2 linked regions of the Drosophila melanogaster genome follow. Each later gene encodes a partner of the first gene's protein in a complex. Each region holds a gene or a part of one and is shown in the gene's direction. Other genes may lie near its edges. The genes, in order: Sym and Ssu72.

Evidence for each region.
Region 2: the proteins of Sym (region 1) and Ssu72 are in contact, whole or in part, in a crystal structure (PDB 4YGX), measured with the Drosophila melanogaster proteins. Residues at the interface, in NP_649580.1 of Drosophila melanogaster: Glu91 (codon at 2,572), Ala117 (codon at 2,711), Lys121 (codon at 2,723), Gln125 (codon at 2,735), Gly128 (codon at 2,744), Ser129 (codon at 2,747), Glu169 (codon at 2,867), Asn170 (codon at 2,870), Asp171 (codon at 2,873), Gly172 (codon at 2,876), Thr175 (codon at 2,885), Asn176 (codon at 2,888), Lys179 (codon at 2,897), Phe180 (codon at 2,900), Arg198 (codon at 2,954), Ser240 (codon at 3,080), Ser241 (codon at 3,083), Val242 (codon at 3,086), Ile245 (codon at 3,095), Ala246 (codon at 3,098), Ser249 (codon at 3,107), Thr281 (codon at 3,203), Ser283 (codon at 3,209), Gln284 (codon at 3,212), Ser286 (codon at 3,218), Ser287 (codon at 3,221), Lys290 (codon at 3,230), Met294 (codon at 3,242), Gln295 (codon at 3,245); in NP_001285455.1 of Drosophila melanogaster: Glu114, Tyr117, Asp118, Val121, Met122, Glu125, Glu128, Ser129, Val130, Asp131, Asn132, Arg133, Pro134, Asp168, Asp170, Asn171, Asp174, Gln178, Glu181, Val187, Ile188, Leu189, His190, Ser191, Val192, Phe194.

Annotation. Positions count from the first base shown.
Region 1 is NT_033777.3:5,737,527-5,744,359, reverse strand, and holds Sym (symplekin), read left to right. Parts: upstream 1-1,883; 5' UTR 1,884-2,231; coding exon 2,232-2,318; intron 2,319-2,388; coding exon 2,389-2,582; intron 2,583-2,643; coding exon 2,644-4,766; intron 4,767-4,842; coding exon 4,843-5,765; intron 5,766-5,871; coding exon 5,872-6,042; 3' UTR 6,043-6,182; downstream 6,183-6,833. Other genes in the region: Madm (MLF1-adaptor molecule), read right to left, coding at 245-1,375; CG1236 (uncharacterized protein), read right to left, coding at 6,452-6,833. UniProt on the Drosophila melanogaster protein: Component of a protein complex required for cotranscriptional processing of 3'-ends of polyadenylated and histone pre-mRNA. Involved in germline stem cell transit amplification, differentiation and mitosis-to-meiosis transition.
Region 2 is NC_004354.4:19,662,728-19,667,376, forward strand, and holds Ssu72 (Ssu72 CTD phosphatase), read left to right. Parts: upstream 1-1,833; 5' UTR 1,834-1,918; coding exon 1,919-2,145; intron 2,146-2,207; coding exon 2,208-2,466; intron 2,467-2,524; coding exon 2,525-2,626; 3' UTR 2,627-4,139; downstream 4,140-4,649.

The DNA of each region.
Region 1 (6,833 bases):
TCGGATAAAACCAAATTTAGAACTTAAATATTTAACGGTGCATTTAAATCATATAATTATTCAAATCTTCAGATTTCAATTATTTACTTAAAATAAAATTTAATAATATCAGGTGTCTTATTAAACTAAATCTCTCACTCGATGGATCCGAGAATTAGAATGCAAGGTCTAGTTGACAAGGCAATTGTTATGCGGGTCTTGAATTTATAGCATTTAGAACAAGATAATTGACTTGAAAACTCACCTCGAAAAGCAATGGGTGAAAGAGCAGATCATTGGCGCTGGGTCGGTCCTGCGGCTGCGGGTTGAGACACTTTCGTATCAGGTCGCGCTGCAGATCGTTTTCCAGGCTAAAGATTGTGCGCTGGATGGTCTCCTCGTTGATGGCAGTTGACTCGCTGTTACTGGGCTGGATTTCCAGGGCGGCCATCTCCAGGGCACACATCCCGAAGGCGTAGATGTCGAGGGCGGCGGTCAACTGGTCGGCGGCGCCGTACTCGGGCGCCTGGAAGTAGTGGGCGCCTCGTTCGCGTTCACGCTCCCGCTCTCGGCCGCGCCGGACGCTGTAGTGGACCGCGTCCGGGACCACCGAGCCGATCTTGACCAGGCCGTTGTGCTGGATGAAGATGCTATCACAGGTTAAATTGCCGTGGATGATGGGCGGCGAGCAGGAATGCAAATAGCTGAGTGCGGACAAAATCTGAGTGCACCACCGGCGCCACGACTCCAGCGGTAGCCGCTTGGCGTTGCGCTTGGTGCGCTTGAGGAACTGTTTCAGCGATCCGCTCGACATGTACTCGGTGATAAAGACCACCCTGGGTCGCTCGGCCTGCTGCGTGTCCGTCCAGTAGCGGTGGAACTTGACAATGTTTTGGTGGTCCAGCTGCAGCAGATTGTCGAACACCTGCCGCATCTTCTCCTCCTGCGACTTCAGCTCCTGTAGGCTGGCATATTGCACCTCATTCCACACGACCTCTACGCCCTCCTCGGTGTCCATGGCCAGATGGACGCAGTCAATACCGGGTACGTCACGCTGATCCACCTCCTCGCGTCGCTTCAGCCAGCGTCCACATGGCGACTCCTCCAAAATCTCGCTCTCATCCTCCGAATCGTCCCCGGACTCGCGTGGCGACGAGTCCAGATTGACGCCCTCGCTGCCAGCTACGACGCCGACGCCGACCGCAGCGCTGCTGCCCGCATCAGCTGTTGAGGCACTAACTATGTGCGGCGGGGGCTGCTGCGTCGACTGCGACGGCGGGGTCGCTGCTGGGCAGGATGCACTTACGGGGCCGGCCGCCAAGGAAGGGTGGTGCTGGATGGGTTCATCCGCTACCGTGCTACCGCTGATGCCGGCATTCGCTTGGCTATTTGACATTAGGGTGCGGTCACCGACGCGGCTGCGGCTGTTGAGCAGTGCTGTTCCAGTTCCAGAAGGCCTCGTCGTCTTCGGTTTCCAGTGTTTATTTTCTTTGTTGGACTGCCTACGTTTGCGCTAGCTTTTCGTGGTATCCACTACGGGGTCCGGGCAACGAGCTACATCCGCCGCTGCTCCTCTGCCGCTGCCTCTGCCCCACTCACTGGCGCACACATACACACGCACGCGCCCACACAGCTCATCCACTGCACCCCTCGCCCAGTAAACACTCCGCTGCGACGGCTGGCGGTTGCTGGGACGTTTTTCGGCACCTTCGACGGCGTCTTCTGTTCCAATCCTCGACTGCGTCGCGAACTGCGATCCGTTTGTTGCACTTTCTGGCCTGACACGCTGCCGATTCGTTTATTTAGGCGTTTTTTTCACGCTAAAACACCCAAGAAATGTGAGCAAATCGATGCCTCTGGCTTATCGATAGTCACCCCCGCATATCGCTCGGCCAGCGCAACTGCGGCATGCTCATCGATAATAACGCGTTAAGCTGAGATATGCCAAAAATGGCTTAATTTATGTGATTTATTAATTTTTTATACGGTAACGAGCAAGGAAAATTAGTTTGCAGGCGGTTCATTTGATTATAAGCCAAGTTTTTAGTAAAATATTCTTTTTCTTTTGAACACATTAAGAGCTGGCAAAAAATAGCTAGATGGTCCGGAAATATGCAGAATTACCAACATCATAGAACCGTTTTCGATAGTTTCTCAATGGTACCGATAACACCTTGCCATCCGTGCCGGCAGCTCTTAAAAATATCCGAAGTATCGCAGATTTAGGCAAAATCTGCATCAATTAACCAAACATGGATAGCATAATTGGACGCAGCCAGTTTGTCTCGGAGACGGCCAATCTGTTCACAGACGAGAAGACAGCTACGGCAAGAGCTAAGGTAGAACACAAATCTTAATCAGACAAGACAGTCCGGACTGCTGTATTGTACCATATATTTTCCCATTCAGGTGGTCGATTGGTGCAATGAGCTGGTCATCGCATCGCCTTCGACAAAGTGCGAACTGCTGGCTAAGGTGCAGGAGACTGTGCTTGGATCGTGCGCGGAGCTGGCCGAAGAATTCCTGGAGTCCGTGCTGTCTTTGGCCCACGACTCAAACATGGAGGTTCGCAAGCAGGTAGTCGCCTTCGTAGAGCAAGTTTGGTAAGGATTTCCATCAAAGGATCTAACTTCTTGCTGAAACGATTTATATTTTCCATCCCAGTAAAGTGAAGGTGGAGTTACTGCCCCATGTCATTAACGTCGTGTCTATGCTGCTTAGGGATAACTCGGCTCAGGTAATCAAAAGAGTGATCCAAGCCTGCGGTAGCATCTACAAGAATGGATTGCAGTACTTGTGCAGCCTCATGGAGCCCGGCGACAGTGCGGAGCAGGCGTGGAACATCCTCAGCTTAATCAAGGCGCAAATACTGGACATGATCGACAATGAAAACGACGGCATACGTACAAATGCCATTAAGTTCTTGGAGGGCGTCGTGGTTCTGCAGAGCTTTGCTGACGAGGACAGTCTGAAACGAGATGGAGACTTCTCGCTGGCAGATGTCCCCGATCACTGCACACTATTCCGCCGTGAAAAGTTGCAAGAGGAGGGCAACAATATTTTAGATATCTTGCTTCAGTTCCACGGAACAACGCATATTTCCTCAGTGAACTTGATTGCCTGCACAAGCAGCTTGTGTACAATTGCCAAAATGCGACCCATTTTCATGGGCGCCGTGGTGGAAGCCTTTAAGCAGCTGAATGCCAACCTGCCGCCCACCCTCACTGACTCGCAAGTAAGCTCCGTGCGTAAGAGCCTTAAGATGCAGTTGCAGACATTGCTGAAGAACCGCGGTGCCTTTGAGTTTGCAAGCACTATCCGAGGAATGTTAGTTGATCTGGGGTCCTCCACAAATGAGATCCAGAAGCTTATTCCCAAAATGGACAAACAGGAAATGGCTCGTAGACAAAAACGCATCCTCGAAAATGCTGCGCAAAGTCTTGCAAAGCGTGCGCGCTTGGCCTGTGAGCAGCAGGATCAGCAGCAGCGAGAAATGGAGCTAGACACTGAGGAATTGGAACGACAGAAACAGAAGTCTACTCGAGTTAACGAAAAGTTTCTGGCAGAGCATTTCCGTAATCCTGAAACTGTTGTGACCCTGGTGCTGGAGTTCCTGCCCAGTCTGCCCACTGAGGTGCCACAAAAGTTCCTTCAGGAATATACACCCATTCGCGAAATGTCTATTCAGCAGCAGGTAACCAATATCTCCAGATTTTTTGGCGAACAACTATCTGAAAAGCGCCTAGGCCCAGGTGCCGCAACCTTCAGTCGAGAGCCGCCAATGCGGGTTAAGAAAGTGCAAGCGATTGAATCAACACTAACTGCAATGGAAGTGGACGAGGATGCTGTTCAAAAACTGAGTGAGGAAGAGTTTCAGCGTAAGGAGGAAGCAACCAAGAAGCTGCGCGAGACCATGGAGCGCGCCAAGGGTGAGCAGACTGTTATTGAAAAGATGAAGGAGCGCGCCAAGACGCTGAAGCTGCAGGAGATCACCAAGCCTCTGCCACGCAACTTAAAAGAGAAGTTCCTAACTGATGCAGTGCGTCGCATCCTCAACTCGGAGCGGCAATGCATTAAGGGAGGAGTGTCATCAAAGCGCCGTAAGCTGGTCACCGTGATTGCTGCCACCTTTCCCGATAACGTACGTTACGGCATCATGGAGTTCATCCTGGAGGATATAAAACAGCGTATCGATTTGGCATTTTCCTGGCTCTTTGAGGAGTACTCTCTGCTGCAAGGATTTACAAGGCACACTTATGTTAAGACAGAGAACAGACCCGATCACGCCTACAACGAGTTGCTGAATAAGCTTATCTTCGGCATTGGAGAGCGTTGCGATCACAAGGATAAGATTATTTTGATTCGTCGAGTATATCTAGAAGCACCCATTCTTCCGGAAGTCTCAATTGGACATCTAGTTCAATTAAGCCTGGACGACGAGTTCTCCCAGCACGGCCTGGAGCTAATCAAGGACCTTGCAGTGCTTAGGCCGCCGCGAAAGAATCGTTTCGTTAGAGTGTTGCTCAACTTTTCTGTGCATGAGCGACTGGATCTGCGGGATCTGGCACAGGCCCACCTGGTCAGTCTGTACCATGTACACAAAATACTACCGGCTCGAATAGACGAATTCGCTCTGGAGTGGCTTAAATTTATCGAACAGGAATCTCCGCCGGCAGCTGTTTTCTCGCAGGACTTTGGTCGACCAACCGAGGAGCCTGATTGGCGGGAAGACACTACCAAGGTGTGCTTTGGTTTGGCCTTTACCCTGCTGCCCTATAAACCGGAAGGTAAGTTGTTGCTGTCCCGTATTAAAGAAGAAAAAAACTATTAAATCAATTTCTTAATATTCTCTTCCCCTGATAGTTTACTTACAGCAAATTTGTCAAGTGTTTGTTTCTACATCTGCCGAACTGAAACGCACGATCTTGCGCAGTCTAGATATTCCCATAAAAAAGATGGGTGTAGAAAGCCCGACGTTGCTGCAACTAATCGAGGATTGTCCTAAGGGTATGGAGACCTTAGTGATCCGTATAATTTACATACTGACAGAGCGAGTGCCATCCCCCCATGAAGAATTGGTTCGGCGGGTTCGGGATCTCTACCAGAACAAGGTCAAGGATGTGCGCGTGATGATACCCGTGCTAAGTGGCTTAACCCGATCCGAGCTAATTTCCGTTCTGCCGAAGCTGATTAAACTTAATCCCGCTGTGGTCAAGGAGGTTTTCAATCGATTGCTTGGTATCGGTGCCGAATTCGCGCATCAGACGATGGCCATGACCCCCACTGATATTCTCGTGGCTTTGCACACCATCGATACGAGTGTCTGCGATATTAAAGCCATCGTTAAGGCTACATCCCTATGTTTGGCTGAAAGAGATCTGTACACACAGGAGGTACTTATGGCTGTGCTGCAACAGCTTGTAGAGGTTACTCCGCTGCCTACTCTGATGATGCGCACAACAATTCAGAGTCTAACTCTGTACCCGCGTCTGGCAAACTTTGTAATGAACTTGTTGCAGCGTCTGATAATCAAGCAGGTCTGGCGGCAAAAAGTAATCTGGGAGGGCTTTTTAAAGACCGTGCAGCGCCTGAAACCGCAGTCAATGCCGATCCTGCTGCACCTTCCTCCCGCCCAGCTGGTGGACGCACTGCAGCAGTGCCCCGATTTAAGGCCAGCATTGTCGGAATACGCGGAGAGCATGCAGGATGAACCAATGAATGGTAGTGGTATAACCCAGCAGGTTCTGGACATCATCTCCGGGAAATCAGTTGATGTGTTCGTGACGGTAACTATGCATTTTTTGATTTAGTCTTAAATGAAATAATAGTAACTCAAATACCGAACCAATATCGAAGACGTTCAGCTACTACATACGAGTATCTTCTTTTCAGGACGAAAGCGGCGGTTACATCAGTGCCGAGCATATTAAAAAAGAGGCACCGGATCCATCAGAAATTAGTGTCATTTCCACAGTGCCCGTACTGACGTCTCTAGTACCACTACCAGTTCCTCCCCCCATAGGCAGTGATCTTAACCAGCCCCTGCCGCCTGGCGAGGACTAGTTGCAGTTTAATTGTTTTGTTTGCTCATACACATTTTTAAATTACTTAATAAGATAAGGTCTATAATTTTATAAACTCACTGTTCTAGGCGATAATACATAAAACCAAGGTCTTGACCGCACCCACATACATTATAAAGGAATATAATTTTGTTTGTTAATGATCAAAAGATTGGGAGTATACCCCACGCAAATAACACAAAAATTTCGATTCTGAGTGGCCACGACCATTTACGGATCAGTTCATTGCGAGCACTGTCATCGGCGTAATACAAGTGTTTCAATAATTTCAGTACCTTTAAAATACCTTTGAAAGTACGAAATATTTAATTAGAACATTGTACATAATTACAAACAGATGTTTTTAAAAAGATGTGGAAAAAATTCATTGTACGCTGAGATTACACGGCTTACAGCTCTACTTCGGCTACCATTTTATCGCCAGCTAAGGCAGCAAGAATATTTCTGGCTGTAATCCGGGACATTTCCTTGCGCGTTTCGATGTCAGCGCTGCCAATGTGGGGGAGAATAACCACATTATCCAGTTTCAGAAGAGGATCGTCGATTGGCAATGGCTCCGGCGTCGTTACATCCAGACCAGCTGCTAGAATTCGTTTGGTTTTCAGTGCCTCGTACAGGGCCTTCTGGTCTACAACGCCACCACGCGCCGTGTTGATAAGAATGCAGTTGGGCTTCATCTTCTGAAAGGCAGTGGCATTGAAGATTTCCTTAGTCTCCGGGGTTAGGGCGCAACAGACTACGATTAAGTCCGACTCGCGAAGCATCTCGTCA
Region 2 (4,649 bases), on another chromosome or scaffold:
GTCGTTGTCCAGCGAAGAAAGCGCCGGATTCCACTCCCTAATTGGCGGATCGATATAGCGCGGTGGCAAATGCCGCGGGAGCTATTTCCTCCGCCGCCTGCTCCCCTCCCTCACCCGCACCGAACGCGATGTCCAATCCCAATCCCAATAACCAAGCACCGCCAGCAGGCGTTCCGATTTGGCGGCAAGTGGACGACAACGAAGGCTACAACGACGCCCTGACCGATCGAGTGACAAAGTACGACTAATATTGGATCTCAGGAACTTCGGTACTGCCGGCAGCTATTCGACCAACCAGTTGGGTCCTCTCTCCCTCTCTCTCTCGCTCTCGCTGTGTGTCTCTGTCTCTTCCTCTCACCTCACCCACTCATGCACACGCTGCTCACACGGACAGGTGAGCAGTGGAACGAGCCAATTCCAATATCAATTCCAGCTCCAAACGCCGCTTTGCACAGTGGAACATCATGGCCAAAATGGTAGCTTTTTAGCACAAATATTTTTTGTTTTTTCTACAAGATTTGTCCCAATGTTATTCCCGTATAATGATATCCAAAACGTATATGAATTGTGTTGTGTCACTTTTGTCAAAGTATAATATAAAATGATATACAATAAGCTTACTTTAAAATGTTTTTGGCCCAAAGACGCTACAATTACGGTTTAATATAAAATAAACAAATAAAGGTTATTTTAAATTATCAAGCAAGAATGACGTGGCATTGGGTTCAATGGGAATATTTTTTGAAATAGGTTTTTGTTAGCAAAAGGTGAAAAGAAGTTTAGACGCTTTTCAATCTGTTAATTGTTTGGAAAGGGGAGAAACGGTTGTTTTGATATTGTCGCAAGTGCCAAGCAATGCGACCCACTGTGCCGCAAACCTGCTTAACTCACAACACACGCGATGCGGCGGCTGCTGCTGCTGCTGGTTGTGGTGCCGCTGGTGGCGATGGTGCTTCTAGTCCTCCTGCCTCACTCCACACACAGGTAAAGAATGGAGGCAACGGCTCCAAGTTGCTCAGCCGCATTCCACGAGCTCCAAACTGAAAGGTTGTTGTCGGTTACTACTGCGGTTGCCTATGCGCTTGGGACGGCGAAATTCGCCATTGGGTGTTGCAAGCCGCTTTCAATTCAAGTTCAAATTCGCGCTTTAGTAACAAAATTCACTTATAGTTAGATTAACTCAGTTTTGGCGCTTTTCGTATCCAAATTCACTTCGGTTGGATTCAAAAATAAGAATTGACCGCCAACGCTGCCAGACTGCGTCGAACTGGTCGACAGTGTTGAAAAGTTCGTAAACTGGCGGCAAGAAATCGATATAACTAGTTGAAAGTGTCAATAGTAGTGGAGCTGGAGTCCAGAAAAATATTTCGAATTTAAAATAGATTTAATAAATTGGAATTATTCGATATAACATTGATATTAACCAGGGGGAGCCCTTTTTTATGCTAAGGGTAGTATGAGATATTTCATTTTATACAAGTTGCAGGATTATAAATACGTTTTAAGACATTACGATAGGTAATTGCCAGCTGTTAGTTTGATCATATTTAATGCTGCAGGACTCCTCGAACTTTAATTATGTTAAGTAGCTATGTATGTTATGTATTTGTTTGGCCAAAAATGTTTCAAAAACTCGAGGCTTTTACATAATTAGTTTTAAATATTCCGTACTAATTATCAGTTGTTATAACGTATATTTTTTTTAGGTTTTTTGAATATTTTGAACGTGAAGTCAACGTGTTCAATTAAACACTGCAGAATTTTTTAAATCGCGTGTTTTCAGATTAACACGTTAAATGTATGTTCGTGAATATATCGTATCGATATTCGTGCTCGTGGTTTTGCCATCCCATCTCCAATTTGATGAACATATTTTTCGACGACTGCGATTGCAACGCACTGCCAAAGAGAAAGAGACATGACTGATCCTAGCAAGCTCGCCGTCGCCGTAGTCTGTTCCTCGAACATGAATCGCTCAATGGAGGCGCACAACTTTCTGGCCAAGAAGGGTTTCAATGTGCGCTCCTACGGCACCGGCGAGCGCGTCAAGCTACCGGGCATGGCGTTCGACAAGCCGAATGTTTACGAGTTTGGCACCAAATACGAGGACATCTACCGCGACCTGGAGTCCAAGGACAAGGAGTTGTGAGTTATTCGTTTTTCCGGCCTACCGTTGGCTAATCCCTGCCCTTTCGTCCTGTTTACAGCTACACACAGAACGGCCTGCTACACATGCTCGACCGCAATCGTCGCATAAAGAAGTGCCCGGAACGGTTTCAGGACACCAAAGAGCAGTTCGACATCATCGTCACTGTGGAAGAGCGCGTCTACGACCTGGTGGTGATGCACATGGAGTCCATGGAATCCGTGGACAACCGACCCGTGCACGTTCTCAACGTGGATGTGGTGGACAACGCTGAAGATGCGCTAATGGGCGCCTTTGTCATCACAGACATGATAAACATGGTATGATCATCTGTCGTCCATTCCCTCAATTCGCCCAACGATTCTTGTGCCTTTGCAGATGGCCAAGTCCACGGACCTGGACAACGACATCGACGAATTGATCCAGGAGTTCGAGGAGCGCCGCAAGCGGGTCATCCTGCACTCGGTGCTCTTCTACTGACGACCGACGTCTGCTAACAGTTCGTGTCCAGCTCCAGCACCAACACCAGACTCCCGTAGCCCCGACGCGCTCCAGCCGAGTCACTCGATCTTGTACCCCAGGGGCTGCGATCGCAGAGCATAGGACGTCGGGCATTGCGCGCAGCGCGTGCGGATCCTGGGTTCCGGATTGGTAGCCTAGCATATAAGAATACTGTAAATAGAGAGGGGCCATCGCTGCAGCGAAAGCACATCCAACAACGACCAGCACCCACACACTCGCATACTCCAAACACCTGATTCGTAATCCACATCAACACCACACATGCAAGCAACTGGCTAATGAATTGGAATATAACACACAACCAATGACGACCATTTCCACACGGCTGCCCCCCAAAACCCCTGTAGTAGTATGTGTACGTGTCCGTATTCCTTGTAATTTCGCCCGTCGACTGGGGGTCTTATCACAGGCTCTCGCTTCCCTCAGCTGGCGAAGGCGCCGACCATCTGACTCCGACCCGTTCTCCCGTTCGGCCGCTCTGCCGCTCTCTTCGCCCGGCTTTGAGTCCGATTCGGACTCAGATTCGGATTCGATTCACATAAAGTGAAATCTCGCATCGTGATTGTGTGAATGAGCATGCACGCCAGAGAGCCACACAGGGGCGGAACGGTCTGGGCCCTCGCGGGCAGGGGCCGCGTTTTTTAATTTTACACAGTTTTACCAATTGTTCAGACAGGGCAAACCCGACCGACCTTGGTTGGGGCTGTGCGTTTTAAACCAAAGGCAAAGGCCCGCAACGGGCGCTAGCTTGCAATAGAAAATAAACAACAGGGGAGTTGTGTTCACTAAGGATTGGAATAAAAGTGCACGCCAATTTATGCCGGTTTCTTGTTGACGGCCTGTGTCACATTTACCCTGCGACCTCAAACCTGCCTAGGTCTTCTCTTCGACGGAAATACCATTGATTACGTCTCATCCCACTGCTACCTCGGAGTTCACCTTGATCGGACGCTGAGTTGGAAAGCCCTTATCACGGCTCCTGGAAACTGAAAAAGCTGGACTGGGTTTTCCACTCAAGCAAACTCCATATGGCAACTAAGGCTCTCTTAATAAAAGCCATATCCAAGTGTGGGGAACAGAGTATTAGAGTAAGACAATCGGGAGCGGCACGACATGCATCTGGGCTACATGTGGTATGTGAGCAATAGAGTTATTGAAGGGGACTTAAAAGGTGTCCCATTGGGGTACCAAATAAACTTCCATAGCAGCCGATATGCCGACAGACTTAGCGCCCACTTAAACACGTTAGCGAATGATCTTGTCGACCCTATTTCCCTCCGATGTCTGAAGAGAATACATCCCCATGAACTCCTTACACGTAATATAGCATAATCTCTCCTCGGTACATTTGTATACACTATAATTAAGGAACAGAATCCATAATATCTTTTAAGCTACACATTAGGTTAACTTCAGAAGGAACTGATCGATTCCTACTGACTAATGAATAATAATAAATGATTTAAACTCTAAAAAGAAATGTTGACGTTTGCTCGTTTTCACTGACCAAATACGACGTGATTCTAGGTAGGATTAGAAATTGTAAGGGTGTTGTTTAGTAATGTGGGAATCATAATTCTAGCATAATTTCATCATTAAACTCATCAACGCATCAGATCAATGCTCTCAGATTAAACAGTTTTATTTCCATGTTATACTATGATATCGTATTATTTGTATATTTATGTGTTATCCATCAATTCCATTCACATGTAAATCCAGATCGAATGGGCCCCCGCGCGCACTGAATCCGCTCCTGTCTGCGATCAGCTGCGCAGTCGGGGTTACAAAGCGTCTGCTGCTTTAGCTGTTGTTGCTGGTGTGTTGGTGTTGTTGCCATTGGCAGTGCTTGCTTGGGCGTTTGTTTGCTGCGGCGGTTCGCGCCGCGCTTCAGTCAGTCAGGGAACGATCGTGCTTATCTTCATTACTACTACCGCTTCCACCGAGGCTTCGCGACTCCGTACCCGTACTCGCTTTGTTT